Medicago truncatula: one gene and its partners. Each later gene encodes a partner of the first gene's protein in a complex. Links are inferred from orthologs where the notes say so. Each region holds a gene or a part of one and is shown in the gene's direction. Other genes may lie near its edges.

What was found.
Region 2: protein PLASTID TRANSCRIPTIONALLY ACTIVE 10 (region 1) and protein PLASTID TRANSCRIPTIONALLY ACTIVE 14 share a complex: the UniProt entries of both Arabidopsis thaliana proteins name them as parts of the transcriptionally active chromosome (TAC) complex. The link is inferred for Medicago truncatula from reciprocal best matches to the Arabidopsis thaliana genes PDE312 and PTAC14.
Region 3: protein PLASTID TRANSCRIPTIONALLY ACTIVE 10 (region 1) and protein PLASTID TRANSCRIPTIONALLY ACTIVE 7 share a complex: the UniProt entries of both Arabidopsis thaliana proteins name them as parts of the transcriptionally active chromosome (TAC) complex. The link is inferred for Medicago truncatula from reciprocal best matches to the Arabidopsis thaliana genes PDE312 and PTAC7.
Region 4: the proteins of protein PLASTID TRANSCRIPTIONALLY ACTIVE 10 (region 1) and superoxide dismutase [Fe] 3, chloroplastic are in contact, whole or in part, in a cryo-EM structure (PDB 8XZV), measured with the Spinacia oleracea proteins. The link is inferred for Medicago truncatula from reciprocal best matches to the Arabidopsis thaliana genes PDE312 and FSD3. Residues at the interface, in XP_021866326.1 of Spinacia oleracea: Arg80, Lys81, Trp84, Val85, Trp89, Pro91, Glu156, Leu158, Arg177, Asp178, Arg188, Glu192, Arg195, His198, Lys199, Ala202, Arg204, Tyr276, Pro277, Tyr314, Trp315, Glu329, Leu331, Arg346, Asp353, His354, Leu355, Leu356, Phe357, Arg359; in XP_021853685.1 of Spinacia oleracea: Tyr59, Tyr60, Gly61, Leu62, Lys63, Lys64, Pro65, Pro66, Leu100, Asp104, Leu106, Tyr107, Gly108, His109, Thr110, Lys116, Val117, Tyr119, Asn120, Tyr121, Gly122, Asn123, Glu142, Lys194, Ser204, Asn205, Arg258, Gln260, Ala261, Phe262.

Annotation. Positions count from the first base shown.
Region 1 is NC_053044.1:37,564,140-37,572,024, reverse strand, and holds the start of protein PLASTID TRANSCRIPTIONALLY ACTIVE 10, read left to right. Parts: upstream 1-4,866; 5' UTR 4,867-4,935; coding exon 4,936-5,661; intron 5,662-5,778; coding exon 5,779-5,838; intron 5,839-5,945; coding exon 5,946-5,975; intron 5,976-6,588; coding exon 6,589-6,662; intron 6,663-7,349; coding exon 7,350-7,431; intron 7,432-7,885.
Region 2 is NC_053043.1:15,106,314-15,113,540, forward strand, and holds the start of protein PLASTID TRANSCRIPTIONALLY ACTIVE 14, read left to right. Parts: upstream 1-4,211; 5' UTR 4,212-4,293; coding exon 4,294-4,344; intron 4,345-4,445; coding exon 4,446-4,595; intron 4,596-5,580; coding exon 5,581-5,718; intron 5,719-5,903; coding exon 5,904-6,029; intron 6,030-6,212; coding exon 6,213-6,341; intron 6,342-6,500; coding exon 6,501-6,590; intron 6,591-6,684; coding exon 6,685-6,835; intron 6,836-6,996; coding exon 6,997-7,106; intron 7,107-7,227. Other genes in the region: protein FAR-RED IMPAIRED RESPONSE 1, read right to left, coding at 701-733, 819-911, 1,031-1,123, 1,287-1,379, 1,460-3,603, 3,739-3,739. UniProt on the Arabidopsis thaliana protein: Essential for chloroplast development, especially for thylakoid formation. Involved in plastid gene expression, probably by maintaining plastid-encoded RNA polymerase (PEP) activity.
Region 3 is NC_053044.1:45,255,509-45,263,406, forward strand, and holds protein PLASTID TRANSCRIPTIONALLY ACTIVE 7, read left to right. Parts: upstream 1-4,908; 5' UTR 4,909-5,012; coding exon 5,013-5,057; intron 5,058-5,134; coding exon 5,135-5,191; intron 5,192-5,274; coding exon 5,275-5,334; intron 5,335-6,816; coding exon 6,817-7,152; 3' UTR 7,153-7,382; downstream 7,383-7,898. UniProt on the Arabidopsis thaliana protein: Essential for chloroplast development, especially for thylakoid formation. Involved in plastid gene expression, probably by maintaining plastid-encoded RNA polymerase (PEP) activity.
Region 4 is NC_053044.1:39,103,523-39,111,274, reverse strand, and holds the start of superoxide dismutase [Fe] 3, chloroplastic, read left to right. Parts: upstream 1-4,732; 5' UTR 4,733-4,895; intron 4,896-5,189; 5' UTR 5,190-5,208; coding exon 5,209-5,304; intron 5,305-5,912; coding exon 5,913-5,990; intron 5,991-6,393; coding exon 6,394-6,585; intron 6,586-7,215; coding exon 7,216-7,387; intron 7,388-7,752. Other genes in the region: alcohol dehydrogenase-like 7, read right to left, coding at 486-575, 720-884, 1,151-1,246, 1,418-1,482, 2,041-2,116, 2,215-2,297, 2,480-2,594. UniProt on the Arabidopsis thaliana protein: Destroys superoxide anion radicals which are normally produced within the cells and which are toxic to biological systems. Plays important role in chloroplast development, particularly in the maintenance of thylakoids membranes.

The DNA of each region.
Region 1 (7,885 bases):
CGGACTCGATCGATAATTTTTGCACATTAAATTCAACCAAAAAGTCCATTAACACATTTACAAAAAGAAAAATTTGGGCAATATGAAAATTATCACACGCAAATAGGTCTTGGAATTTTATTTAGCACACTATTGATGGGTTCATCTCTCTTATTTTTTAACAGGTTAATTGTTCAAATTTACCCGGTAATATACTTTATGTTTGAAAAATGACCCAATAAAATATAAAACATATATTCTAGCATTGTAACTTGAATTTCTTCTTATTTAATTTTGACCACCCTATAATATACGTGTAGTCTAAAAATGTGACCAACAAGTTGAATTTTTTCACTATTTTTTTCATACATGTTTAGCACGTTAAAATATAGCTTTACACAAAATTAAATTTCTTCGACTAGGGAGAAATTAATTATGAATTTTTATTCCCTCATAATTATGAATTTCTTAAACAATTTATAATTAATTTATATCTCGTTTAAAAATTACAAAATTTCATTGTGAAGGTTCTTATCATGTTCTAGTCATGCCTACAAAATTAGGGAACTAAATTTGCTTCTGAGTACACGCTTACGCGGAACAAAATTTCAATTTTGCACGTTTCAGTTGAAAAATCAAAATAAATTTAAACGACTTCGAAATGCTATGAAACTTTACATATCCTTTTTATGTATTTTTATAGATGTCTTTGCAAATAATGAGCTCAAAATTTGATTTATAGATCGAGATTTCTGTTGTTTTGTTTTTTGAGCTTTTGACACTTTAAAAATTCATAATTAATTTGTCGTTTGTCGAAAATTTATAATTTTTTTGTTAAAGCCATATTTTAACGTTCTTAACTCGCCTCTAGGAAATCATGAAAAAATTCAATCTCTCGGTTGCTTTTTTGGACTTCACGTATATTACAGGTTATAAATAATAAAAATCTCGAATTACATGGTCAGAATACATGTTATTTAATTACAGGGTCAATTTTCAGAGTTCAAGTATATTACGTGGTCAATTTCAATTAATAACCCTATTTTAAATTGCACTTTTGTTGACAAAATGATAAACCTCTTTTTTTCGATTTTTTTTAGGAAAAAAAATAAAAAATAATTTTTTTTTGATTTATGACTGTTTATATATTATGTCACATGTGAATTTACGATTAATTTTTTTCCCGGACTCCATAAATTTCCTAGCTCCGCCACTGCTCACGCTAGTGCAAATGGCAACGTGAGTTAACTCACGTTTCACAATACACTAGTGCATGTTAACTTGCGCTAAGCATTCAACAAATAACTCACAAATAACACTAGCGCATGTTAAGTCACGCTACTTATCTTAAGTTATGTTATAATTTGTACCAGCGCATGTTAACATGCGTAGGAGCATTTTGATCATTTACTTTGGAAATGAGCGAATTCATTTGGGCAATGAGCATAAATCAATACTAAATTCAAATATGATGGATAGCAGGGGAATTTCATGAGTTATTGAGATTTACATGCTTTGTTTCTGTGTTTCAAAGATTTTGTTTTGCTCTACAAGTATGCTGGAATGTGATATAAATTTGGCTAGAAAAAAATTGCGGCTTAGGTGTGAGAATGACTACAAAAGTCAACATTACTATGCTTGGAAACCTGGTGTGGGAACCACAAACTACTTACTGTCAAGGTATAAGATTTCAGGTTCCATAGTTTGGAACTTTGTTACTAAGGCCAAGATTATTCTCAGAGATTCCGGTGGGAGCTGGTGATCTTTGATTTTGGTATAATGATTAGATAAAGTTTATCCCTCTTTGTTGCCAAGTTCCATATGTTGACATCCATGATGTTAAAGTTTACGGTCAAGGATTTGATTGAAGATAATGTGCTCACTCTGCAGTCCTTGCTCCCAATTTTTCTGACGTTGTCTTTTAACTTGGCATTTGGCTGAAAAATGTTAATGAAAACCTACACAAATGAAGCTAAATTCTAATCTTGAAAATGGTACACAAATAAAGCTAAATTCTCATTTGGTTAGCATGCCATGATGATGATGTCCCCACTTGTAGTTTTTGCTAAACATCATCATGGAATGTTAGTCTCTGTCAAATTTGCCAGAGGAAGAGGAATCATTTCCTTTGCATAGATGGTTATTCTTTGCTAGTTTGTTATTATCTGTATCATAAGGATGATATTTTTCCATTTATAATCATTTAGGAGTTAATGTTTCATTAATTGATTGCATTCCCTATTCCCCTGGCTACTTATAACCTCACGTATTTTGTATCATATTAGTGAAAGATAAATTATTTCAAAATGCAGATGGCAAATGGATACAAACCTTTGCAGTATTATTAGAAGGGCTTAAGTTCATTTTGGTCCTCTAAATATCACGATTGTATGGCTTTAGTTCCGTATTTCTTTTCAATGTGATTTTAGTGTCCAAACTCTCCCCTTTTCCAATTTGGTAGTCTCCCCATTATTCTCAAACATATACTAATCCGGCAAAATTTGTAGATGTAGCATCCAAACTTCAATGTATAAGTGTATCTTCTCATTCCTTCAACAACAAAAAAAAAAAGTGTATCTTCTCATTAAAAAAGAATCACATTATATGAAATAGCACATGAGCTACTTAATTTGGCGCCGTAGGACAAACTGATATTCCTGTTTGGAATAATACGAGGTTCAACGTTACTGATTTGGGGATGGATTGAAGTAGAAAACGTGGAACCATCATATTTTGTTTTGTTAGATTCTTTGAATGCAAATTTGACTTAGATCCATCAAGATAATAGCGATTTTTGGATCGTATACCGAGTTTTATAAAAAAAAAAAAAAAACATGTGTAGTTAGAAGGTCAAAGATGGATTTAAGTCTATTAGAAGTTAGTTCTTCTTTTGTTTTTGTTTTGGTAAACGAAGTATCCTTTGGACATCCGAATCAAACTTTTGACCAAATGATTAAGTGGTCAGATTATATGTCACTTGTGGTAGCTATTGAACTTTAGACATCGAAATTGTCATTAATCGGTACTTCCTCCGTCCCGTCATAAGTTAATCATTCGCAAAAAAATATTGTTCCAGAAAAATTGATTCATTTTACTTTTCAAAACAATAATAATTACATTTTACCAATTATAAATTTAATTAATACTACTTTTATCATTCTCAATTTAATATATTATACTTTACATTTATGGTAAGAAGGAATGTACTAATACTTATACACTTTTTCTTAATATGTGTAAAATAAACAAAAGTTTGGGTTAAAATGGGATGGAGAATAGTTACATATAGAGGATAATTCTTGAGTTGTGGCGCCTAATTATTTATTGTAAATTTATTTTTCTTCATTCATTGTCAATAAATGTTGACACGAGATGCATTAGTAGGATTGTTGGAATCTCTCTATTTCATAAAATAAATGTTGTCCATTCATATAATTTTGAAGCAAATTAAGTAGTTTTGAAATTAAAATTGTCCATTTATTTTAAGATCGAGAGGATGTCAACTCAAGATTTATTTTATTTAGTGGATCCTTAAAAAAAACCATTGCTTGTGTTTATCTATGTCATAAATGAAAAATAAAATAGAGTAAAATCAAATTTATTTAAATTGTGTTCACATGATTGGTTAATGAGCTTTATTTAAGATAAATCATTTGGAAGAACTTGAGTCTCCTTTTCCTAAAAATCGGATGCTTAACACACAAAAACTGTGCTCACCATTCAAGAGGTTTTTGAGATTTTCAAAATAGCATGACCAAAAAAATTAATTTAGCACATCACACATATTTGTATTAATTACGCTTTCCGACCCACTACGAGTGACATATTTGTAAAAAAATTATCTCAAATGAATGATCTATTTTACAATGCAATACTAATACTTGATAAGAATACTTAAAACTATTCTTACGTTTTTTGAATACCCGTTCCAATCTCAATTATAAGAAAAAGTTATTATTTTTTTTGTTAAGTAGCCTAGTGGTCGGAGCTCACACTTTTTAAAGGTGAAGAAGTAGAGAGTTTGGTGAACCTTGGCCCCTGCATAATATTGTCTTTGTAGCTACCAACTGAGTTGTGCTTACATGACAAAAAAATTAGATTCGTTCAATAACTAATGTATTAGTCTCTAATACTACCTCCGGTCCTATTTATAAGAGAAATTTAGGTCAACAAAAGTGAATGTATTTGGACTGAATTTTTAACAAGATACATCAACTTTTGTTGACCCAAAATTCTCTTATAAATAGGACCGGAGGGAGTAGTAATGTATTGGCGCTCTTTAGGGATTTCAAAAGAAAAAAATATTCACAAAAAAAATCAAATATTTCAATTTTCAATGCATCGATTAAATTTTTGAACAAAGTTACTATTTAAAGGTCTCAAAGAGCACTCTAGGGGCAATCATTAAAATTATAAATTAGTTATTAAATGAATCAAAAAAGTTAATTTTTTTATAATCGAGACGTATGTGTGAGATGATTAAATTGAAAGCTAAAGTACACTAGAGATTCTTTAAGTTATTTAATTATAACAAGTTGGGTTTTTAAGTCTTTTTTTGTACCACTTACATCTTTTAGTTATTTAATTGTAGCAAGTTAGTCTTTACGTTTTTTCACACATTTTAGATCTTTTAAATTATTTAATCGTAACTTTTAAACACCAAATAACTTACTTTTCTACAATCAAAATTTTATTAAATTGTTAAAATTAAATAATTTAAAGATCTAAATGGTACGAAAAAACTTAAATGATCAACTTATTACAAATGAATGACATAAAAGACTGGTTCATCGCTCCATTAAAAACTAAATGATGAATATCGAAAATTTAACAAATGGAGCATGTAGTTATCTCTTACATATTTATATTAGGCAAGGGCAGTTGCCTCATTAAATGTTTGAACTTTATCTATCCGCTCAATGTTAGTTTTGTGAAGCAAGGTGGTGAAGTGTAGCAATGCAAGTCTTCCCCAATTCTTATCTCTTCACTTTCCCTAAACCCTTAAACCTTAAACCCTCTCCTTTATTTCACGGCCATCCACCACCTCTACTCCACCGCAAACCACCCCTCACCACCGTTGCTAAATCCTTCACCTCCGATGAATTCCCCGTCGACGAAACCTTCCTCCAAACCTTCGGCCCTAAAACCAAAGAATCCGAAGACGAAGCACGACGACGCAACTGGATCGAACGTGGCTGGGCTCCATGGGAAGAGATTCTCACTCCTGAAGCCAAATTCGCGCGGACGAGTCTCAACGAAGGTGAAGAAGTTCCTCTCAGTTCACCGGAGTCGATTGAAGCTTTTAGAATGTTGAACCCTAGGTATAGGAAGAAGAAGATTGAGGAAATGGGAGTGACAGAAGAGGAATATTTGGCGAAGCAATTTGAGATTAAGGAAGATGTTCCGGAGGAGTTGGAGACTAAGTGGGCAGGACCGTTGGTGGTGAAGTTGGTGCCGCCGAGGGATTGGCCGCCGAGAGGGTGGGAGGTGGATCGTGAAGAGCTCGCGTTTATTCGTGAAGCGCATAAGATGGAGGCAAAGAGGGTGAGGTTGGAGGATATTGAAAATGGTGTTAGAACTGAAACTGATGATGTGTGTTTGGATAGGTATAAGGTGTTTTTGAAACAGTACAATGAATGGTTGGAAGCTAATAAGGATTTATTGGAAGAGGAATCCTATAAGGTTTCTTCAATTTCATTTCATACTTGTTTAAATTATTACAATGTGCATTCATAGTTTTTTGATTTGGTTTATGTTGATTGCTAATTGCTAATGCTAATTGTGATGTGAATGCTACAGTTAGACCAAGATTATCACCCTGGTAGGAGGAAAAGAGGCAAGGATTACAAGGATGGCATGGTAGGATATGATGAATTCACGATTCTTTTTTTATGTTTGTATGTATTTGGAATGTGAGAAAGCAAACTTGTTCTGGGGCTAACTGTTTTTTTAAATGGTTTTTGCAGTACGAGCTACCGTTCTATTATCCTGGCCAAGTAAGCTATTTCACAATTCTTAGTTCATACTCATTATGGATTATATTGTATTGTTGTTGTCTATAAAGTCGATGCTTTACTTTTTATCAGTATCGTGTTCTTAAGATTTCCTATGGTATTAGTGTGTTTTCATATTCACCTGGTTGTTTCGAATTACTGCTATTATAATTTTATACGCACGGGCAAGCATTGCATTCTATCATTTTCTGCTGCTTGGAAGAAACTGATTTCATATGGTGGGACTAGGCTAGTCTTCAATAGGCATGTACAGTGATCTTTTCAGTTATGACAACGTGCATATTACATTTTTAAATTGCTGACTGGAAATTTTGTTTAAGAAAACTATGAATAACTGAATTTACCCTTTAATGGCAGCATCACGTTGTCACAGTTTTTTTTTTCCTTTTTTCTTTCTTTTTGGTTTGATCAATCATGATGTCTCTAATTGGACAACTGTATATGTAGTCCAATAGATGATCCTATTTTTGTTTGGCTTCATTTCATTCGTATAGTTAAAATCAGTCTTTTTCTGTATCATAATTTTTAATAAATAAATATGTAGGATTGAGATTCAAGTTTTCATAAATGCTTACATGATAATTTTTCATTGCAGATTTGTGTGGGGAAGGTGACAACTTTGCATCTCTATCAAGGGGCATTTGTTGACATTGGCGGAGTATACGATGGGTACATACCAATCCCTCTGTCCATCTTTTAAGTGTTCCCTTAACTTTTTCTGTATTGGGTGTTCATTTCCTCATTGTTTTGGATGCTGGAGTAAGTAATATTGAGTTGCTTCCACAATGATATTCTTGCTAAATTAATAACTATATCTATAACTTTAGAATGTTTAATCAATATCATGTGGTGCAAAAATAAATTGGGAAAAGCATCTTCACAAGCATTTGTACCAGCACTGAAATGCTTCATTATATCCAAAGCCATGGCAGAAACAAAACAAGTACCTAGAGAAACACACCTGAGACTTGTTAAATCTCTAGACTTTGGATGCATTTTTTTGTTAGAAAAAAAAGTACTGGTTGTTTACAGACTAGAGCTACAGGGAAATCATACTGTCTCTTTTGTATCATGTGGTAGCCCAGTTTACTGAAAATTATTCAACACTGAGATTGTTTTCTCTTTCTTTGATCTTTGACTAGGAGACATTGTTTTCTCTTTATATGCTGCCATGGGTTATTGCATATTTTCTTTTGTTTGCTGCTGCTGTGTACCAGCAGTACTTCATACTGTTATCACGAGTAACTTATAGACTTTACTTCTGTACCATTGTTATCTTGTTCAGTGCCACTGTTTTAGCTTTTACTTTTATGCAAGTTTTCTTCTGGAATATTCATCTACTGTAACGTGTTCTAGGTGGGTTCCTATAAAGAACAATGATTGGTTTTGGATTCGCCATCACATAAAAGTGGGTATGACAGTCATTGTTGAAATTACGGTGAGTATTTCGGTCACTAGTTGAGAATATTCCATACTTGTCACTTAATACTTACCTTATATACTTGATAATACAGTGATGGTGCCTTTAACTGTACTGTTACCTGCCAAATTGTAGTTTTTTTACCCATCGATAGGAAACTAGTTGGTGCTGCATTTTTCTTCATGTTGTTATGTTCACGTTTTGAAATAGGAACTCTAGCTCAAATTGTATTATACAAGGTGAATTTTCTCTCTCTTGTGTGCAACAACTGGGGCAAGCTCCCACTTACCCATCAGAAGCACTGTCCTTAGTTTCTGTTGGTATCCCCACATCAGGTATCCAATTTTCCAGTTTATTGCTCACCCCATTCCAAAGGGAAGGGGGCGATATGTTTAACCTCTGGCCTCGGTGTTTGATGCCTCTTTCTTTTATTCATCCATTTTTGGTACTAAGAAAGGTCTACCCTTGTTTC
Region 2 (7,227 bases), on another chromosome or scaffold:
AAGTTGTGGGACTATGATGGTGCTTTAAATTGGCATTTGGATTTTAGGAGGTCTGTTAAGACTATCCATGCAATGTAATATTACTCATGTCTATGTTATACATGTCAATCAATAAAAAGTCCATCTAACATCAATTTGTGTACTTCAAGTTTTAATATTCTTTAGTATTTCTTTTGGCATCAATAACATGATATTCCTTCCAAATAAAAGCTATAGATTTTTTTTAATCGGCAAATTATTCTCGTCGAGATTGTGTAAGGAACACGAAAATCTCGCGGATAAAATCAAACAAGAAGTAACGAGTACACATGAACACTAATACAACCACCTACCAAAACCACCCATAACAAAGCTAAAAACAGAAGCTTTATATTCCAAATTTGGTTGCTGCTAAAGGGTAAAAAACACTGAAGCAGCAACAAAACTGAACCAAAAAAAAAGCACACAACTAGCACTAAACAACCCATTCCATCTAACAATAATGCTTGACCAAAACAGCCGCACACTTGCTTGAGCAAAACAACAAACACTAAACAGCAGAACAGCATATTCCAACACAATTTCAAGCAGCCGCACACTTGCTTGAGCAAAACAGCAAACACTAAACAGCAGAACAACAATCACTAAACAACAATCCTGCAGACCCTCATGCCTTGATTGCAGAAAAACCAGACAGCAGTTCAAACCAAAAACAACAGTGTTATGGTTTTGTGACCCGAGAGTAATAAGGAGCCTGCAAAGAATATATAATTAACCACTTATGTTCATTATAAAAATGTCAAATAAAAACAAGACAACACCAAAATCTATATTTGCACCTTGTTTACTTGACCAAAATGTTCTTGATTTGGATTGAAGGAAGCTACAGTATTCACACTACCATTTTCACTGCTACAAACATAGTTATGCTCCTGTCATAGATATTAACATGCAAAAACATAGATAAATAGTATGCAATATCATATTGAATATTTCAAATAACAAAAGGCCAATCATTTTTAATTAAATGAAAGTAAGAAATCAGGTTTACTTGAATATTGTCTTGTGTCCCAGTCCCATCAAAAATTTGATACCTAAGAAACTCTTCATTTGTAGTATTTTGAACTACATGCAATCTTAGTCCCTGTCATAAAAAAAACTATAATTAGACACACCCACATGTACACACACACACTACTGTGTTCAACTGCATAAATAGTACCATTCAACCATTTAGAACTATGTTCACACTAAAATATTTACATAGAAATATTTACACTAAAATATTTAGTATATGCTTTGTTTACTTGAATGCTCTCTTGTGTGCCAATTCTATCACCAAGTTGAGATATGTAAAACACTTCGTCTTCAATTTCTTGACCTCTAGATGTACATTGGCCCTGCCATAAAAATTATTAAATTAGACATCTCAACTATTATACCTATAATATAAACAACTTGCTATAAATTTCATACTCACCTCTTCTTGAACTTGAATATTTTTACTACTTTGGTTTCTTTTTTTAGTTTTCTTTTGTGCAAGCTTCTTCTTTACAATCTGATCAACTATAGAAGTCTTCCTTTTTGAAGGAGGACGCCCTTTACTTCGAGCTAGTTTAGGATCAAGAATGGTAGCTTGATTTTGAGTTGAACAATCTTCTTCTACAATTCTAGGAGATGTTTCATTACATGGTAACTCAATTTTCATGTTTTGAATCAATTTCATCACTTTCACTAAATCATCGTCACTATTTATCCTCGTTGAAGCAAACTCATAAAAGGCATCACAAGCTTTACCCACGCGTTGCAATTCAGTTTTTCCAGCCAAATTATCAAAACCACATTTAATAAGTGTATACCTCCGCTTTATATCCTTCCTCCACCGTGCCAAAATATAATTAGATGGCACGAAATCTGTTTTCCCTATGAGCTTAAGCACGCAAAGGATGTGCCTACATAAAATGCCTTTAAATTCAAACAAGCAGCAGGTGCATTTTAACACAAAGTCTTTTTCATTGAAGAACACCATCAACACAATATCTTTCATCGTGTCATATACTTTCTTACTTTCTGTAACATAAAATATTGAATCCAAACCCTCCAATCTGTTGAAACATGCATGACAGTACATCATAGAAGCTATTTCCAATTGGAATTCCTGAAACTTTGCATTGGTAAATGCTTTTTGGAATTGGAACTCAAAGCCAAAGTGACTAATACAAGAAATAACTGTATTAAAAGAACGAAAGTCAGCAATGTTTTCCTTTTCAATTTTGTCTTTCAATGCATTATCATATTGCTCAACAAATTGCTTCAATGTTGTCTTTGAGCTTACATATCCATCAAAAAACGAGTTCATACTTTCACTTCGTTGTGTAGTTGACATTCCAGCCCAAAATGTGTCCCTTACATATGCAGGGACCCAACGATGTCGCTCAACAAATAACCCTTTCAACCATTCGTTATCCTGTAGTTTGTAACACTCAATCATATTTTCCCACCTCGTCATAAAATCACTTTTGGTAAAAGAATCATATACAATATCATGCAAAAGTGTTTTGATAGACTCGTAGTCAGAGTGACTACCAAACTTTTCTGGAATCTTTTTCATTAAATGCCATAAGCACCACCGATGACGAGCTTTCGGAAAGACAATCTCAATTGCATTCTTCATTGCTCTGTCTTGATCAGTGATTATGGCATTTGGAGAACTTCCATGCATACATTCCAACCATGTCTTAAATAACCAAGTAAAAGTTTCAGTATCCTCATTTGATAACAGAGCACAACCCAACAACATAGACTGACCGTGATGATTTACTCCAACAAAAGGAGCAAAAGGCATGTCATATTTATTTGTTAAGTAAGTGGTGTCGAAAGTTATGACTTCACCAAAATATTCATATGCAACCCTACATCTTGCATCTGCCCAAAACACATTTTGTAACCGACTTTCATCATCCACATCCATCACATAATAAAATTGACTGTTTTGCTTTTGCATCCTCACAAAATAATTTTGTATTGCTTCAGCATCTCCTGTCCCAAGTCGTAGTCGTCTTACTTTGTCTATGTAGTTTCTGCAGTCTTTTTCTCCAAATGTGAGATTTTCATACCCATCTGCTTCAACAACAAAGGATCGGAAATTTCTACTTACATTAATCCCAGCTTGGTCATTGAGTTCTAACCTCCTCTTCATTTGTGCCCCTATATTCTTGTTCGATCTAAAATACCTTGCTTTCCCTGGACTTAGATCATGATTATGCTCAAAAAAAACACTTTTAATTTTAGTTGTTCCGTCTAAAGAAATACACGCATTCAATCTAGCCTTACACTGCGTTTGAGTTATAGGATTTGGCTCTAACATATTCTTTGGGCGACTCACATACTTTCTAGCTCGACTACATGCTAAAGTAAAATACATTTTCCCCTCATCTCCTTTTTTTGAACTTATTTTTTTAACTCCAAAACCCACCCGTTCAGCATAATTCTTGTAATACTCAGTAATTTCCTTTTCAGATCCGAATGACATCCCATCACAAGGTGTTTCTTCTTCACAAGTACCATTTGCTTCTAAACAATCATTAGTTTCCAATTCATCACAAGACTCAAATCCTTTTTGCACTAACACAACAAATTAGAAGAAGAAAAAAAACCTATATTAATTGACTAACACAGTAAAGTAAATGAAAAATCAATCAATCGGCACAAAATTCCTTCTAATAATCTATAAAAACAACAAATACACAAAATACTTACTTGTAGGTAAATTAAAACTGAAATACTCTGCTTTAGTGCTATGAATCAATGGAAGCTATGATGGTAAGCAAAAACAGAGTTACATGAGAATGAATATGAGACCTGATTCAAAGAGACAAGAGCGTGAAAAAGAGAACGACGACCTTATATCACAACAATTGAGATTGAATGTCAATCAGATTCTTTGATTAGCGGAAAAGATGAGATAATTGCTGCGGGAGTGGTGAACGTGGGTTCTTTTCTGTATGTTTTTGTTTTGGTGAACGGTGGGTTTCACTTTCATTTCTATTAAAGGATTTTATTATTTATTTAATTTAATATTGTTTGTTTTTGACAAAGAAACAGCAGCGCGTAGCACTAACAGGTTTTCACGCGTCCGTAATATTCCGTATTCAAAATTTTCGTACGATATATCATTTTCCAATTAAATATTAAGGACCAAAATAACATTTAAGCCTTTTTAAAAAAAAAAAAAAACACGTGACATCACTCTAGAAGGAACATAAAATGCTGGATAACGTTGTCTTTACCATTTTCCACTCTTGAGTTCACTCAATGGCTTCTTCTTTTCCACTTTATCAAACAAGTTTCTTCTCAAAAACCCAGGTTCAGTTTACTTCACTTCATTTCCCTTTCCATTTTTACATCTTTTTCTTCTCTCAAATCTCAAATAACTTTTAACTAATACTTGTTTACTTTCTAAACAGTTCAAAGGTTTGCGCCATGGTTATTTGTGGCGACCCACTTACTCTTTTGGTTCTTGTGCTGAAAACAAAGTACAACCTGTTAAAGCTTCTGTCGAAACTGCCCCATTTCCCTTGTTTCAGCCTCCTAAAGATGAAGAAACAGCTTCTCAGGTAAAAACCCATTTTGCACCTTGTTTGTTTATTTATAGGTTGAAAGTAACAACTAGGACTAAGGAATGTTAAATTAGTTTATATATGCAAAAGAATGTTACCTTTTTTGGGTGCATATGAGACCTTTTTGTTGGTGGGCATAAAGGGAGTGTTTTAGTAGTCTTACCCTTAAGCCGGCCCTGGAATGTGTTAAAACAACAGCTCGGTTTAAGAAAATAAAGATACGAAAAATGCAAAAATGGAACATGATGTTTGGTAACAAAGTTCGGTCAATTGTGCCTATGTCTACATAAAGAAGAGCGGCTGCGATTCCTTTCTGTGAGTTTAGAGTATACAACTTGTACTCAAAGACTACGGTCCAGATTATAATGTTACCCCAGTTGCTCTTGTTTCGCTCGAGCAACCTATTCACTTATCATTAACTATGAGTTATGCCCAACAGGTTGATTGAGTTGAGTGAGTGAATGTTGTTTCCAAGGTTTTGAATAAAGGTTCTTAATTGATATTGCAACTGCAATGTGAAAGTTTTAGAGACCTTTGTTACTGCATTTGCGGCCCCATCAATGATATTTGTCTATGAAGGACTGAAACATGACATTATACAGATATCGACATGTAGACACCTATAATTTTAGACGATGAAAGTGATTGTATATAAACACACATGTCAATGTCGTGTCAGTGTCGGACACTCGGACATGCCTTAAATTTAAAGTCTCACTGCTACATGATTGCTCAGAGTTTTCTGCAATTTCAAAGATTGCAACAAAACGTTGACTGTGATTGCAATTTAAAATGTTGGATGGTTCAATAATTTGATGTGCTTTTGTGTGTATAATAGAGTAAAGTTAATTTTGAGATGCAGTATCTTCATTCCTATAAGGCCAGTTTTTGGATGAATTCTTTAAAGGGTCGTCTGTTTTTATGAAATTGGGATATTGAGTTGTGATATTGTTTCTTTGTGTTAATTTATTTGTTCCTGTAGTTGGAGCCTGTAGATCCTGATTTCTACAAGATAGGATTCGTCAGAAGTATGCGAGCTTATGGAGTTGATTTTATGGAAGGGCCAAATGGTTTCGGTGTATATGCTTCTAAAGATGTCGAACCTCTTCGCCGACCAAGGGTGAGTAGCCTCATACAAATCCTATGTAAGACTGGTGGCAGTGCATCATAATGAAAATAACGGCACATATAATCAACTCCTAATTTGTATTTTACATGTTAGTTTAATTATTTGTATGATGTTCTTCATGATTATATTCTGAGTAGTTGTCCAAGGCTGTTTTCCCTAACGATGAACTTGGGCAGGTTATAATGGAAATTCCTCTTGAATTGATGCTAACCATAAGCAAGAAACTACCATGGATGTTTTTCCCTGATATAATTCCCCTTGGTCATCCAATATTTGATATTATCAACTCAACAAATCCAGAGGTAATTGCAATTCTCCTCTGAAGTCATTAGTTCAAAATATGATATAATTGATTTCTTGATTGTTTTCATGGTAAAATATATTTAACCAATTTGTATTGTAACTGTTGTATATACTCAAAAAAATCAAAACCGTTAGTTTTTCTAGTTATCTGCTTAAAGTAATTGTGTAAATCTTTGTGGCAGACAGATTGGGATTTACGATTAGCATGCCTTCTCTTGTTTTCATTTGACTGCAAAGACAACTTTTGGCAGTATTACGGTGACTTCTTACCCAGTGAAGATGAAAGTACTAGCTTACTTCTAGCTACAGAGGTGCATAAAAAATAGATTTTCTTTATCATTAAACCATTGGTTGATATTTAGCCAGCATCAGATGTATCTTGTAATTTTAAGATTTGAATAGCTACATTTGGAACATACCACAGTTTTAGAGTTCACTTTACGACATCTCATGTTGATTTGTATATCTAGGAGGAACTTTTGGAGCTGCAGGATCCCGATCTTGCTTCTACAATGAGAGTTCAGCAACAACGAGTGTTAGAATTCTGGGAGAAGAACTGGGTAGAGAGAAAATTGTCCTTGTTGAAATTTTTAGTCTTCTATGATGCATATCAATTAGTTTTTGTTCTCAACAAATGGTGTTACTCTTGTTCAGCATAGTGGTGTGCCGCTCAAAGTAAAACGTCTTGCTCGTGATCCTCAAAGATTCATGTGGGCAGTAGGAATTGCACAGTCACGCTGTATCAACATGCAAATGAGAATGTGTGCACTAACTCAACAAGCGAATATGCTGATTCCTTATGCTGGTAAGCTTTGTTCACATCAAATGGTCTAACCAACTATTGTATCATTTTCTACTCATGCATAGTAGCGGTTCTTGTTTATTTCACATTTGATGTAAAGTTTTTCTTTCCTTTTTGATAAAACAACAACAGAGGTAACTGATTAACTTAGTCTTGCTTTTCAGATATGCTGAACCATTCGTTTGAGCCAAATTGTTTTTTCCATTGGCGTTTTAAGGACAGGATGCTTGAGGTTCTTATAAATGCTGGACAACGGATAAGAAAGGGAGATGAGGTAAATCACTTTATACTTCTTTGAAGTATGCTTTTCGTGATTCCTTTCTTATATTAAACGTTACTGAGTGCAGATTTTGTTTTTATTCTTATAATATTGTTTGGCCTAAACTAGATAGACT
Region 3 (7,898 bases), about 7.7 Mb from region 1:
AATAGTATAAGCTACTTTTTGTTATCAGCAATTCAATGTTACATAATAGTAAATGATCTTCGAAATTGGATAAAGTTTTTACTGCTATAAATTCAAGAGGTAATTGCTCGAAAGAACTTTCATTGCATGAAATGAGAAAATTTGGGTCGTTGCAAACATTATTTGATCATATTAGCTCTTTGGATCTCGTTTTGAAACCCAGTTTAGGTTCTTGGTTTCATGTCTCGTTTTGCAACTAGTCCAGTGCATTGTTGTATTCTCATCCAATGCTTTGATTTCTGTTTTTCCACACAATTTGATTGCTTTATGATTATCTCTTACTTTGATATATAGTTTGCAATAGTTGGTGATATAAACAATTATATGCAATCTGGTTGTTTTGAACACGAGTTTTGTTGTTGTGATTCTCTGGTTTGGTATTATTTTGGTACAATTTTTTTATTGCAAATGTTGTTGTAGGTATTATCTATATTTAGGAAATTTGTTTCTTGCAACTTGGATTTCTTATATTGTGGAGTTTGTTTTGGTATGCTTATACTTATATTAATGTGCTTCTCTATTGGTTTAGAGTTATATTGTGGGAAAGTTGTCTGATTGATTTGGTAAAATTTTACAAATGGATTCTTCGTTGGTCGGTCGCTCTCTTCATCGTGGCATTTTAACATGGTTGAAAACCCTTATTTTGGTTGTTTTCCCCTATGTTGATACATCTTTTTGGTTGTTTCTCATTCTTTGATTGCTCGTCTCTCTGTTGGTTCATCTCTTTGGTTGTTGTTTCTTCTCTCGTTGCTCTTCTATTTCTTTGTCTTCTCTTTGATTATTGTTCCTTCTTTGGTTGAAATTCAATTGGTTGGTTACTCCATTATGATTGATTAATACGATTGTTACTTCTTTGGTTGTTCATCTCTCCAATGGTCATTCTCTTTGATTAGTGTCCCTTCTTTTGTTTACATTCTCTATGTTGGTTCCTCTCTTTAGCATGATTGTTTGATACGATTGTCTCTCCTTATTATGTTACTCATCGCTCTATCAGATTCTCTCTTTGGTTGGTAATTCTTCTTATATTGTTGTCTTTGTTGGGTCATATGTAATTTTGATAAGATTATTTTTCATTCTTTGGTTGTTTCTCATTTGGTTGTTCTTTTTTATGGTTATTCTCTTTGATTGTTTCTTCTTCTTCTTAGGTTGATTTATCTATCTATTGGTCCATTTTTATTTCTCTTTCTTTAGTTGTTTATTTTTTATGGTTCATCTTTTTTCTTGCCATTTCATATTTGGTTGTTCCTCTATTTGTTGCCCCTTGTTATCTCATATAAATGGACAAAATAAGTGAAACCTAATGAAGACCACATGCATCTACCACTAGCAACAAAGCAAACTAAAATCAAAACAACATTTAGTGTTAACTTGTGATTTTTATTACCAACTAATTTTTTTAATTGTTAATTGTTCAAATTACCCTTAATTTTTTATATTACAGACCCATTTATAATATTAGAGCAAAGCCTCCAATTTGATTTAGACGACACTCGACAAACTGCGTCAATCAATTGTGAATGGTAGAACCAGTCCAGAGACAGTTCACTGCATGATAATTACCCAATATTTTGTCGACCACTTTTTGGGACCATTGTGGTTGTTGGGTTGTGCTTGTATATGGGTATGATTCAAGGGGCTTGTGTATTCATGTGGTTGTTGGGAGTCTCAACATCGGTAGCTGGTTTGTATGTTGTCTTAATATTGATTGGTTGGTTGTTGGGAGCTTTGGTCTTGGTGACTTGATTGTGAGTAGTCTTGATATGAAGTGAATACGCCATCTACAACACAAAGTTTCAAGTAGTTAAAGACTCGGGTTACTGGCCCCAATATCAAGGCATCTTCATTTGCCACAATCTAACCATGAAAAAACTAAAAAGAGATCGTCCGAAGTAATTGCATTATGACTGAAAAGTGGTGATAAAACGTGGATTGTGTCGGCTGACCATACATTCTCATAAAAAAATTCTTACTCATCAATAAATGTTATTAACTTTTAACTTGTCATTTTATTATTATTTATCGGTATGCAAATTAAATATATTATCACACAAGGCAAAATAAATGTGAAATGTAATTTCTTTCAAAAAAAACACAATGCAACATTAAAACAACACTACTCAAGCAAAATTACATCAACTTAAATAAATAAACATAATATAACATAATGTCGAGATCCACCATAATCTACTCAGACTTAACATACAAATAAATTGTTCTTTCTCTACCTTCTTCGTTCAAAAACATGTCTTAAGCATCAACATCATTGTGGATAAGCTTAAATTCATGATATACAGTGCCATTGTCATTACCATCTCCCAACAATATATAAAAGGCTCCCCATAAGAAATTCGAGTCACTTTTCAAGGATCATTACAAGCTAAGTTATAAAAGTGGCTAAGTTGCCTATTCAACCCTAATAACGTTTTTCTTGGAGTTATATACATTTCAAATGGATCTCTCATATGGTCAAATTGAACCATGACGCGTAATGAACGAGACATGATATAAATGAGATTAGAGAAAGTGATATGAGTAAAGTATTAGGTTGAGTATGAAAGATTGTGATTTGTGATGAAAGGGGAGACACCTACTTATAAGAGTGTATTTTTTTTGGTACAATAAATAATATTTTAAAATTTTTAGAAGAAAAAATTATTTTTAAAACAAAAAAGAAAAAAAAAAACATGTGAATCAAATTTTAAAAAATAAATTTATTGACATTGTCATTATTCATTCGTTTTTCTTTAAAAAAAATTATTTAGTTGTTTTATTCAATAATTATTGCTTTATAAAATATTTTCATTATTAAAACAACGTATTAAATTGAAAATGTGATGGAAAATAATATTTCAATTAAAAATGTGATGGAAAATATTTAATTATTAATTTAGTAAACCTTTAATCATTAAAATAATATACTAAATTAAGGATGTGATGAAAAATATTAAAACATTTTCCATAAAATATTTTATCTATTATCAAAATATTTTTATCATTAAATTAATATATTAATAACGTTTTATTCATTAGATGATAATATATTAAATTAAATAATATTGTAATGAATAAATAACAGTATATTGATCTTTACCAAAAAATAAATATAAAAATAATATTTTAATTAATTATTTTAATAACTAAATATTATATAAAGTAATAATTATTTAATAAAACAAGTTAATAACGACAGGGATATTAAATTTATCTAACTAGACTCTGCCACGTAATTAAAGTTGATCTCAAAATTAATTTTGTAACTTTCATCAAAAAAATATTGGTTAACTTGAATTCACTTTGCTAACTTAGACCTACTTTATTATAAACATGTTTATATTTTGAAAGATACAATTATAAACATGAAACAAATCAAAATAAACACAAATGTATACAAATATGTTTCATTAATTCTTTTTGTTCATAAATAAAGTTGCTGTAAATTAGCAAATTGGATGTAAATTATATTGAAATTTACTTACATGTTTGTCTTTTAGTTATCATTAATATTTTTTCTTTTTTGGTTCAACAGTTTAAAAATCATTTTTTTTAAAGTGAATAAATGAGGTGTCTGAAGTTCGAACCCCTATCCATGCATAAATTATGCATTATCTTTACCAATTGAGATAAGCTCACGAGGATTTGTTAATTTAAACTTTTGACAAGATTTTTTTTTTATTTTTTAAGCAAAAGATGGGATGCAGAGGGGTCTCCTGCTGCAGTACCCAAAACATATATTAAACGAAAGAAAAAAGTACAAAGAACAGGGGGGACAAAAACCAAAACCCTCCAAAAAAGCAAAAGAAAACCAAAACATAAAGAAAGCCAAAAAAAACAAACTAATGAGGCGAACGGCTGGAAGCACCCACCTTGAATCCTCTGCCCGTCTCAGGTTGCTTCTTCTTGAGTTTCTTCTTTCTAGGGACCACCAATTGAAATGGTTGACTCGTATTTTCGTCCAAATCAACAATTTCATTGTTCCGAGCCATGTTAGCCCATGATTCGCTTAGAAAATTCACCGTTTGTTGGGCCTCCGTAGGAACAACTCCTAAAACTTGCATGTCATGAATAACAGATGCACTGAAGTTTGACAAGTCTGAGTTTGTCACCACAATGGAGTTACCTCCCAAAGGAATTGTATCTAATATTGCTTCCTCTTGATGATCATCTTGACATAAAATGTCAGCTGAATCAAAACTCATGTCAATATTACCCTGACCATAAAGGGGTCCCGTACCTGCTAAATCACTCAAATTCTCATTACCTTGAGCAACCATGTCTTCTGGATGCATAGAATCAACAACATTAGTACCATCCACAAATCCCAATAGAGGATTATTATCAACAACCGCTTTAGTGGCATTATTTGACAAGATATTTTTATATAAAAATGAAAAAGTGCACATTTGTTAAAATATGAGATATGATCAATTGACACCAACATGTCAAACTTAATACATGACATCGACAATAACTCTTTACCGTACAAAATTTTACATTAATTATAAACTATTCTATATGTTCATTGATACCACAAAATTATTGTCTTATGAGCTATTGAAAACCAAGTTAATTTTGATGTATTTAATTGACATATCAAATAGTTTTTGATTAATGTAAAATTTTGTAGATATGATTTATGTTATAATATATTTCAATCAAACAATCGGTCTTGCAATAAAATTATACAGTAAAGAATAATCGTTTGTGTCGTATTGTTAAATTTGACCCAATGATGTCAATTGATTCTGTCCCTATATACACCGTTGAGAGACTCTTAATGTTAGAAATTATTTTGACTAGTACACAAATACCATTTTAAAACATGAACATATTGATGAACTATTTATGACTATTCATTTCATAGGGATGGAAATTATTATTTTTCTTGGAGAAAAAAACTATTTATCCAAATATTATATAGAAAATTCCTTTATAGTTTTGAGATAAGGCGAACCAAAGTACAGTAAATACCAGCTATGGCTCTCCGCGTCAACACATTCACCCTCTCTTCGACTTTACCTGTAATTTTCATATCTTTCTTTTCAAATCTTTATATTTTTCTAAACTGTTACTTCAAAATCTTGTAATTTTCTTGCAGAAGATAGAATTAAGAGCTGGAAATTCATGGAGCCCGAGCCTGAGTGTTAACTCGCAGGTATAAATATAATAACTTTGAAAGTTGTTGAATTCTTTGTTTGCAACATGAAACTGAACTTGTTCATGCATTTGTTCTTCAAGATGGTAATCCAAATGCGAAAGGAAAGTGGTGGACGAAGAATCTGGAGGCGAAGGAAAATGGTATCTTCTGCATCCATCTTTCTTGTCTCACAATGTTTTTCTTTTTATGCTTGCCTCTTACCTGTTTGTATAAATTTCCCAAATAATAATAATAAAATAAAATGAATGAAATTAACATGAATTTCATCTATTAATAAAGAATGCATTGAAAAGATTGTGTTGTCTAACTTTCTCAGTAGTCAATAGTATTAGTGGCTAAATTGTTACAAATTTTTAATTTTAAATATATCTAGCTTGAAGGGTTAGGAAGAATTAATGTTGAGTAAATGTGTTTGTAGTTCTCTTGGGACATTAGGCTCAATGCGAAGAGGCGCTGAATTTTTCCCCGTTTCCTCATTTTCCGGAAAGGAAAGGTTTCAAACTTATAATTGTAACATTCTAAAGTTGGAAAGTTAGGGGACTAGAGGTTAAAGAGTTTGTAGTGGATGGATTTATTGGATTGCATGTTACACTTACAGAAGTAAGCTGGAATTGTGAAACAGAATTAGCGATCTGGATTATAGATTTGTGGTGTTCCAAATTAACAGCTATAACATTTGTGATGTGAGGCTGCAAGGGAATATTGGAAGGTATGTTATAGTTTTTGCTGTTCCAAGTAAATAAACATGCTACAACATTTGCGATGTAATTTGCAATGTGTTGCTGCAAGGAGGAACATAGGAAAAAAAAAAAAAAAAAGTGGTGTTTGAACTGTATGTTGTATTCTTCACAAAAGAAAAAGTATTACAAGAGTCTCTAGTGATTCATTAAAGAACACAGTAAGGGAATATGTAGCATGACAGGGAATGAGGAGGAGAAGAGCCAAGAGAGGATATATAAAAGGATCACATTTTGTAGTTCTCACATCATTTATATTTACATTTGCACCCTGTCGTTTTGCCTAAGCTTTCATGTCTTTGTTTTTGCATGATATCACCACCTTGCTGCATTCTCTTGCGGATTCTTTGCCATGCATGTGACCTTTATAGTGTTGTAGTTGCTGTTGGTGTATCAAGTGTCAGAGGATCCACCCAATGTCTTAATGTTTTGGGTTAAAATGTGGTGTCCAAGTCAATTATGTAGTTGTTCTTGGTCTAGTGTGATGATTCCCCGGACTCCCTAATGTCCCAACTGTTGTTGCTACTGAGGTGTTTGTCGATATGAACATAATGATTTGCAAAAAAGATAACTGCTTTCATGTGGTAAAGATAAACCAAATTAAATTTGATTCGTGTCTTTGCTTCTTTCTATCATGGTTGCACATCTCCCAGTATTTGGCATGTTTCTCACTCAAAATAGATACTCATTTTCCGTTGAATCTTGATGCACATAGTGAAGCTGTATGCATATCAAGATGCTTTTATTTCTTCATTTCTAACTGTATTGATTGAATGAATGCATAATGGTTATGCTGGCGAACATGATTCATGCTATTGACACAGGTTTCACGAGTATCAGGCCCGATGAACTTGAATATTTAAGCAGAAACTCATTTTGCTGCAGATAAAAAAGGATGAATCTCTTCCCTACAAAATGGAGCGCATTCCTTTTCTCGAGGAGCAGGTGAGGAAGATAAAGGATGAGGGAAAACTCTTGCAATTGGACATAGAGAGGTTACTGTTATCAGAAGATAATAAGTATGATTTTGTGAATGAGATAGCAGCCGAGGCCAATGCTTATGTTGAGAGCAACATGGATGAGTATGGAGGTGAGAAGAAAGCCATTCTTCATGTTTTGAGTAATCGGGTGAATGATGCCGGATTTTACCGTTCAGAGGCGTATGCTGAGTCTGATCCCTTCAAACCTGGGCCTCATTATTTGAAAGAGTTTTATACATAACTTTAGATAACAGTTCTTAAGCTAAGATGTTACATTAGGGATAATAACTTGTTTCTTTGATTCACTTAGCACAGTTGATGCCTTCATGTCTGTCTAAGTTAGCCGCAGTTGTTTGTATGCATGCAAATCAAAGTCATCGAGAGCACGTGGAAATCTAATTCCGTATCTTGTGCATTGGAAGAACTATTACTATTCTCAATTTCTCATAGTATTCATCCTCTCTTTTAATAGTCCTTTCTGATTTGATATTTTTCTCTCTTTTAAGAAATGAAATGAAAAATGATAGCACTACATATTAACTGTAGTAATACATAGTAATATATATTAACTGTCACAATTATATTGATATAATACTATATAATGAGAATTGTTGTTGACACATTTCATATGGCTGAGAAACACGAGTAAAGTTGTCGACACATTTCATATGGCTGAGAAATACGAGTAAAATACGTTTTTGCCCACTCGGCAGTTAACTGCCGAAGAATTTAAAAACCGGCTGCAGTTAACTGCCGAGGAAAACCTCGGTAGTTAACTGCCGAGGATCTTTTGCTACAAATCTGGCAGAAGCTCTCTCATCCATTATTCATCTTATCTTCAAAAAAAATTCTCTCACAAATCTCTATAGAAAATCCAACCAAATTTATTCAACAAAATCACAAGTAAGTAATTATAATGCTATTAACTTACATTTTAGTTGTTATAAATGTTTTTATTTGTTAGTTTTTGAGTAGATTTATTATTTT
Region 4 (7,752 bases), about 1.5 Mb from region 1:
GTGTCAACCTAGTGATTTATCTTGATTTTTTTTTAAAAATGTTTAAACACTTTTTGATTTTCATCTCCATAAAAAAGAGTTTACAAGCTTAGATAGACCATGAAATGCAATATTAATTTTTTAATAAATGACTCATAAATTATTTTTATAAACATTTAAATATTATGTTGGACTGGCACATTGTTAAAATTCCTAAATTGTTGAATCTATACATGCACGTGCTTTGACACTTCATAACTTGAGCTAGTTTTTAAGAGTGAAAATTACGTCCATTTAAGATATATGAGAAGAATTAGGCTTTTCTCTAAATACAATCAAAGTCTTCTCAACGCAAGTATATTTCTAGGGTAGTAGTAGATTGACTAGATAGACAAGAGGGATTTTTTGGTCTCTAAACTTATTTTTAGTACTGTTTTAATCAAAGTCACTAGATTCAAAAAGGCTATATGGTATTACATAAGAATGCATTCGTTTGTCCATCCAAATCACACATCTCCTTTACTCAATAAATCAAAAGCTTTATTGATGTCCTTAAACTCCAACTCATGAGTCACAAATTCATCCAATTGCAGTTCCTGCAGTTAATCAAAGGGCCAAAACTTTAACACATTGAAAATGTCACAAATCATTTGATCTTTCATGTTTTTCACTTGATTATTATTTTACTATTGAGTATAATAGTCCAAAAATAAAATAAAAGGAACTTAATATTATTGCACCTTGTCCATGTAACGTTTAAGTAGAATCGGTACATGAGATTTGGGTTTGAGTCCTCCATACACAGATCCCATAAGGCTTTTCCCATCATGAAGGACCTCACTAGAACTGAGGCTCAACCTAGCTCCTGGCTTGTCCACCCCTAAAACAATTGTTTTTCCCCAACCCTAGAAGCAAAATGGTCAAGGCAACTGGTTAAAATGTTTCAGTTAAAGTCGAATAGGTTAGGTATATTTGAGTTTGATCCCTGGCTGAAACAATTATTTGTCAAGTTTTATTTCCGACCGTCCTAAAAAATATTAAGAACTCGCCACTTTAAGTGGTCTATCAAACTTTATATGGAAGGGTGATTAGTCAAAATTACATTATCAATTTCTGTCTCTATATGACAGTGTGAGGATGTGTTGGAAACATTTGAGAGAGTGAATTATACCTTTCTACAAGAAGCATATGCTTCATGCACCAATGATGCCATACCGACACATTCAAAACAATAATCTGCTCCTCCATCAGTCATCTCTATGATAATCTGCTACGCAACCACATTCTGATTTAGTTTAACAGATCATTAGTAAATAAAATTTTGTCTTGAACATGCTTGCAAAATTTACAAATTTGTTATATTTTCTTTTCATTTGATCTCTTGTAAAGAGACAATATCATAAATCAAAGTTAAGATTGAAGTTTCAAGAGGGTGGACCTGGCTCACAGATTTGTTTCCACATTCCTCACCATGAACAAAGTCGGTGAGTCCAAACTTCTTTCCTGATTAAATGAAAGAAAAAGGAACATGAAATCAAATTCAGAATTCTTGCATAATTGCCTCAGAAGTGGTACAATTCCCCTAGTTAGGACCTGTTCTGATTACAATAAATAAATTCATTAAACATTTTTAAGCGTTTATCATATAAGTTCCTATGAAGAAGTTACGAAAATAAGTTGAAAACAACATAAGGACATGTCAAAAGTTGTTCCAAGTGTTCTCAGAAGTGCTTATGCCACTAGATAAGTGTTAGGAAACATGATATCCAATGAAGGAATGAGAGAAAACTCAAAGAATACTTCTATTGATGATAAAATTGAAAATTACAAATGATAAGAGATGTACAAATGAGTCAACCTTGTGACTTATATAGTAACTAAACTAGTACCCTAACTAACTATATTATTATTCTTAATAATAAGCTCAAACAAGTCAATCTAAAAGACCTTTAGTACTATAACACCTCTTTCTAGTGAAGGGCTTTGAAACATGAGGGTGGTTAGCAACAAAATATTGGACTTAATGGTTGATATAGTGTTATTGAGCAAACAATGTATTACCAATTTCAAATTTTTCATGGTTGACATCCACACCAATAATTCTAGTTGCTCCACAAAGTCTAGCGCCCTCTGCAACCTAAGAAATCAATCAATTGCAACAAGTATTTTAGTGTACACATAACCATAAAGAGGCGCAGACACAGAAGGCAAATCTGAGTTTTAGAGAGCCCATACTGCTAATCCAACAGATCCTAGCCCAAATATAGCAACTGATGACCCTGGCTCTACACCTGCTGTTCTCCAAGCAGCACCTACCCCTACAAATACAAGTTTTAACTATTAAATAAGATTTCAAAACATTGAATTGGATTAACGTGGTTAACTTTTACTACAAGCAATATTTCTTTTATTCACGACCAATTAAGTTGACCCTAATTGACCATCATCATTGTTCTTATCTATATTCTAAATTTACTTTTTGCGTTGATAAAGAAACTACCTGTCGATACACCACAACCGAGAAGGCAGGCCCTATGAGGAGGGATTTGTGGATCAATCTTTAGTACATTGGCAATGTCAACCACGGTATACTCACTGAAACTTGAAATAAACATGAAATGATATATGATCTCTCCGTTTAGGTCAGTGAATCTAGTGTTCCCATTTCTAGGCAACCAAGGAGAAACTTTGAATGGGAAATTAGTACAACGGTTGCTCTTGGTTGATTTGCAATCTATACACTCCCCTACACTTTCCACAACCCTACATCACAAAAAATTGGTTGAAAAAGAAATGCTTCATTATGTTCCCAGGGATCTTCAATGTTTGAGTATGTAGAAGAACTTAATGCCAATGGATGCACAAAGCAGCAAATTATTCAACCCAAACAAAACAAGAAAAATGAATAAATATTTAGTCATAGAATCTACATAGAACAAGTAATGTTCAAATTGTGGACCGCGTGATGTGGCAGCTATATTGTGGTTGCAGTTGCGTTCGCAAACAACACCAGCCTACAATTGAGTTGTATTTGTAATAAAATTTAGAAAAATTAATAAGTAATTAAAATTAGTATCTTTTTTTTGACAAAAAGTAATTTTTTTTTTTTTTTTTTTTTTTTATCATTTGTAACATTATACACGCTTTTTAGATGATCTAGACAACAACAGTTGTTCTTTTATGGGGCCAATAGTCATCATACCACTCTTAATAGATAAGGCAATAAACGATTCAAACAAAACTAATGTAATCGAAAAACTAAATTAAATTGAACCGATTATCATCTGATATTTTTTTATTTAGTTCAAAAGTTGAACCGAACCGAAAGAAATCGAACTCAGTTGGTTTGATTTTCAGTTTACAATGTTCAAATGCAATGAATTGATAGCTTTACGAATCCACTTTAACTTAGCTCAGACCCAACATTTTACTAATATATTGACACCAAAACAACATATAAACAACCAATATGATCGTTGTTCTTGTCAACAACTGAGCTTGAAGCATTTCATGGAATTGTTAGATCTTGCGTTAGAGGATTGCTGCAATAACTTAAACAAAAAGAAGATGGTAACATGATGCATCTTGCGTTTGTATGCTCAATTTCACCGGTATTGTTCGTCTTGAGCCGGAATCTGACTATTTAATAAAATTTGTTGTTTCAATAAAAAAAAAATCCATGGCATGTGTGAACATACTATGCTTTAAGTTTGACTCACCCCCCACCAATTTAAGTCAACCATATGCAAATGTGTATATAGACTAATCCCCTTTAGGTTTAATAACTCCAAGCACGCCACATCAACATGTGGACGCTCTTGTCTAAGAAGATGGTGAAGTTCATCAAAATAAATATATACACCCCGATGACGAAGTTCATCAAAATAAGTATATACACTCTTGTCATTATCATCTCCTTAACCCGGAGATGAAAACTTTTAATTTGTGTGAACCACCTCTCAAAAAATGCCAACAATAAGACAAAATTACTCGCGAAATCGGTCCCCCCAATTTAAAAATCACTCGGTTTGGCCCCTCTATCATATTTATGAACTTAAAATGGTGATATATCATATTTCAATTGAAATTTTTCAGAGGCTTTCTGGTCTGAAAATTAGATGAAGATAATTTTTCAGAGGTTTTCTGGTAACTTTAATTGATGATAATTCTACATTATGATGTTGTATGAAAATTCATTTAAAATGTGCCACATCACCATTTATGAGTTCAAAAAAATATGAAAATGGATCTAATTTCTTAAATTTTGTTCATTAATACATTTAAAAAAGGTCAAATGCATCTAACGGTCCTTTAAGTTTTTCGTTTTTCTCAAAGTCGTCCTTTAAGTTTCAAAATTCCCAAACAAGTCTTTTAGTTTTTGAATCGTTTCAAACAAGTCATTTTAAAGGATTATGATGATGATTTAGATGATAGCAACAAAGAGTATTATCCACCATTTGTCATGCCTAAAAAGATGACTAAGTTTAAGTGGGTGTTAGGAGTCCGATTTGGTACCAAAGATGAGTTCAAGGAACCAATTACCAATTATGCTATCTACAATAGGACTTATTTGAAACGATTCAAAAACTAAAATGACTTGTTTGACATTTTTGAAACTTAAATGACGACTTTAGGCAAAATGAAAAACTTAAAAGATCTTTAGATGCATTTAACCTTTAAAAAAAAAAGATTATATAGTATTTTAAAAAAAGATAAATTATAACTAATTTTACCGCTTTAACTTGAACCGAACCGGGGTCGTGTCCGGTCGGAGTTGAATACTGGTTACGTTATCTTTTACTGACAGAGAAACAAAGCAAATAGTCTGAGAAGAAGCAAGACATTCATCACCACCACCATCTTTCAGTTCACCTTAGCTTGTGTTTGTGTTTCAACCGCATCGTTTTCAGCATCTTGTAACTCTCCTTTTCCTTTTTTATTTTATTTAATATATATCAACTTTTTTCTTCTTCTATTTCCTCGCTTTCTTACTTGGCTCCCTTTTGTTTTTCCATCAGTATATCAACTGTTTGTTTAAATGCCTAAGTCAACATTGTTAAATTCTGCTTGCAACCACCTTACACAGTTTTCTTCCAAATTTTACAAAGTTTTATACGTTTATTTAAATATAATGTTTGGATTTTAATGTTCTGTTTTAGTAATACAATTGAATGCTAAATTATGAATTCATATGGTTATGTAAATGCTAGGTGTTGGAACAGAGTACCTATGGCTTCCTGTTACTTAAACCCTATTCCGACTAGCTCTCGTCTCTTTTCACCAGACTTATCTACAAAATTCAAGATTCCTAAGCTTCTTCACAGGGTAAATTATTTTCATTTTGAATTACTCTAATTTCTTTATCTCTTTTTTCTGATGACCTTCTTAATAAACATGACTTTCCATTTAACTTTTAGGATAAATTATATTCACCTAATTTTCAGTTGCAATATATGGCTTTCGATTAACTTTGATAAATGTAGCTACTGACACTAAAGTAAAACTGTTTAATTTTTCTTGAAAGCATCATGGTATATTATTGCATTGATAAATATGGATCTTCTGCAAGAAAATGTTTGACTATTAAAATTTGGGCTTTAACACTACTAGGGAGGTAATGATTAATAATAACAGGCATGTTTGAAATAGTTTAGCTCTGTAGTGTTGGTTGTTTGTGTGTAGATTATGTGTGTGTTGTTAGTATTTCTTAACATAGAAAATCGTGTTGAGTCATTAAAGTTTTACTTTTACAGCACTTTGAAAAGTTTAATGAGTTTCATTTATGCTGTGGACTACTTGTTTTAGAAAAATTTGATTTTTTTATAGTTTCTGATTCCTCAAGCAATATTTATTCTCTGTGGTTAGTGGCAATTTTTTTTTCTTCTTTTTCTGATTTGTGGCTATCTCTTTCCTCCTCAATTGTATTTAAGCAGAAAAAGAGGTTTGGTGTCTTGCCCAGATCTTCAAAAGTTACAGCATTTTATGGCTTGAAGACCCCTCCCTACGAACATGTAAGTGAACCATAGTTACCCGAATCCATGTTTTATTGGAGATATACTGTTTTAAGTTAACCTATATACTTGGATTAGTTGAACGCTGCGCAATGCTTATCAGAGAAATCATTGCTGTCATACATTGCATTGTCATATTTTGCTTTATTTGGGCTAGTTACATAGCTATTCCGATTTTAACCAATATAATGATAAAGAAAGAAACTAGAACTGAGAAAAACGTTAGTGATCGACAAAGGCATGACAGCATGCAATTAAGTCCTTTCCATTGCTTTTGTTATTCATTTATTTCCTCCTTTTCGTTGATGAAACCTGCAATTAAGTCCAACCTTTAACAAACTCAAATATGTAACTTACCTTCATATCATGATTCTAACTTTATTTGTTGCTTCAATACTCATAGGATGCATTAGAGCCATATATGAGTAAGCAGACAATTGACGTGCACTGGGGAGAGCATCATCGGAATTTTATTGAAGGTTTGAACAAACAGCTCGGGAAGGATGATATACTTTATGGTTACACCTTGGATGAACTGGTCAAAGTGACATACAACAATGGCAATCCTTCACCTGAGTTCAACAATGCAGCTGAGGTACTGACTTATTGATAGCTTACTGGATTTGATCTTTTAAAGTTTGATTATGGCTCTGTAGCGGCTTACTTTTCCACATAAACCTATTCAAAATGCTTCAGTGTATATTACATAATAAAATTAGGATACACACTCCCAAGTGTTGATAATATTGGCATCTCCCCCATTCATAATTGGAAACTTGTGCCCTAGAGTCTGAAACTCTTCTGAAACCATAAAAATGTATTTAATCATAATGTATTTAATTGTAGAATGTGGGTTTGAAACTATATCAACGTAAGGTAGAAGTTGAAATAAATGAATACTCTTTCTGTGGTTCCTGCACTCTTTTCCATTTTTACGTGTCTTAAATAAATGATTTTTCCTTCTGGTTCTTTGATAAATGATTTTTATTTGGTTCTTTTCATTTTACCTAGCTTGCATGAAATTGGAAATTATCTGCCCAATCTGTGTGGGATAAGGCTTGGTTGTTGTTGTCTGCCCAATCCGTGTCATGTAGCTATTCTTGGCTGTTCGTCGGATTACAATAACTAACAATAACAAAATTACAATTGTGGTAGCTTTGTGCTTTTATATTCAAATACTGTCTGTGAATTGTAGTACCTAATTATTTTTTCCTCTTCCGCAAAGGTTTGGAATCATGACTTCTTCTGGGAATCCATGCAACCGGGAGGAGGTGATATACCCATACTAGGTCTCCTTCAACAGATTGAAAAGGATTTTGGATCATTTACGAATTTCAAAGAAAAGTTTACAGAAGCTGCACTTACATTGTTTGGTTCTGGCTGGGTTTGGCTAGTTTGTAAGTCCTTTCCTAATTAATCCCCCCTTCTCTCTGTCTTGCTAAAGTGATGTGTGAGTTATTCAAATCCCATATTATCTTCTTAATATGCCATAAAATCATTGGACTTCTCTTATAACAAGCGAATATCTAAAATAAATATTTGATTTAAAAATAAGAACCAAGGTTTTGTTTTTCTGAATTGTTAAATTCTCGTTTTTATCTCACTGGGAATATTTACATATTTTATGCTTGAGGCTGTCACTTATCTTCTGTCATTTGGCGGTTTAGTTTTACAATAATGGCATTTCCAGACTTGTGTAGAACTATGTTGATGTATACTATCTTAAGCGAAACCTTATTGTTTGATATTGCTGGTGGTTAAT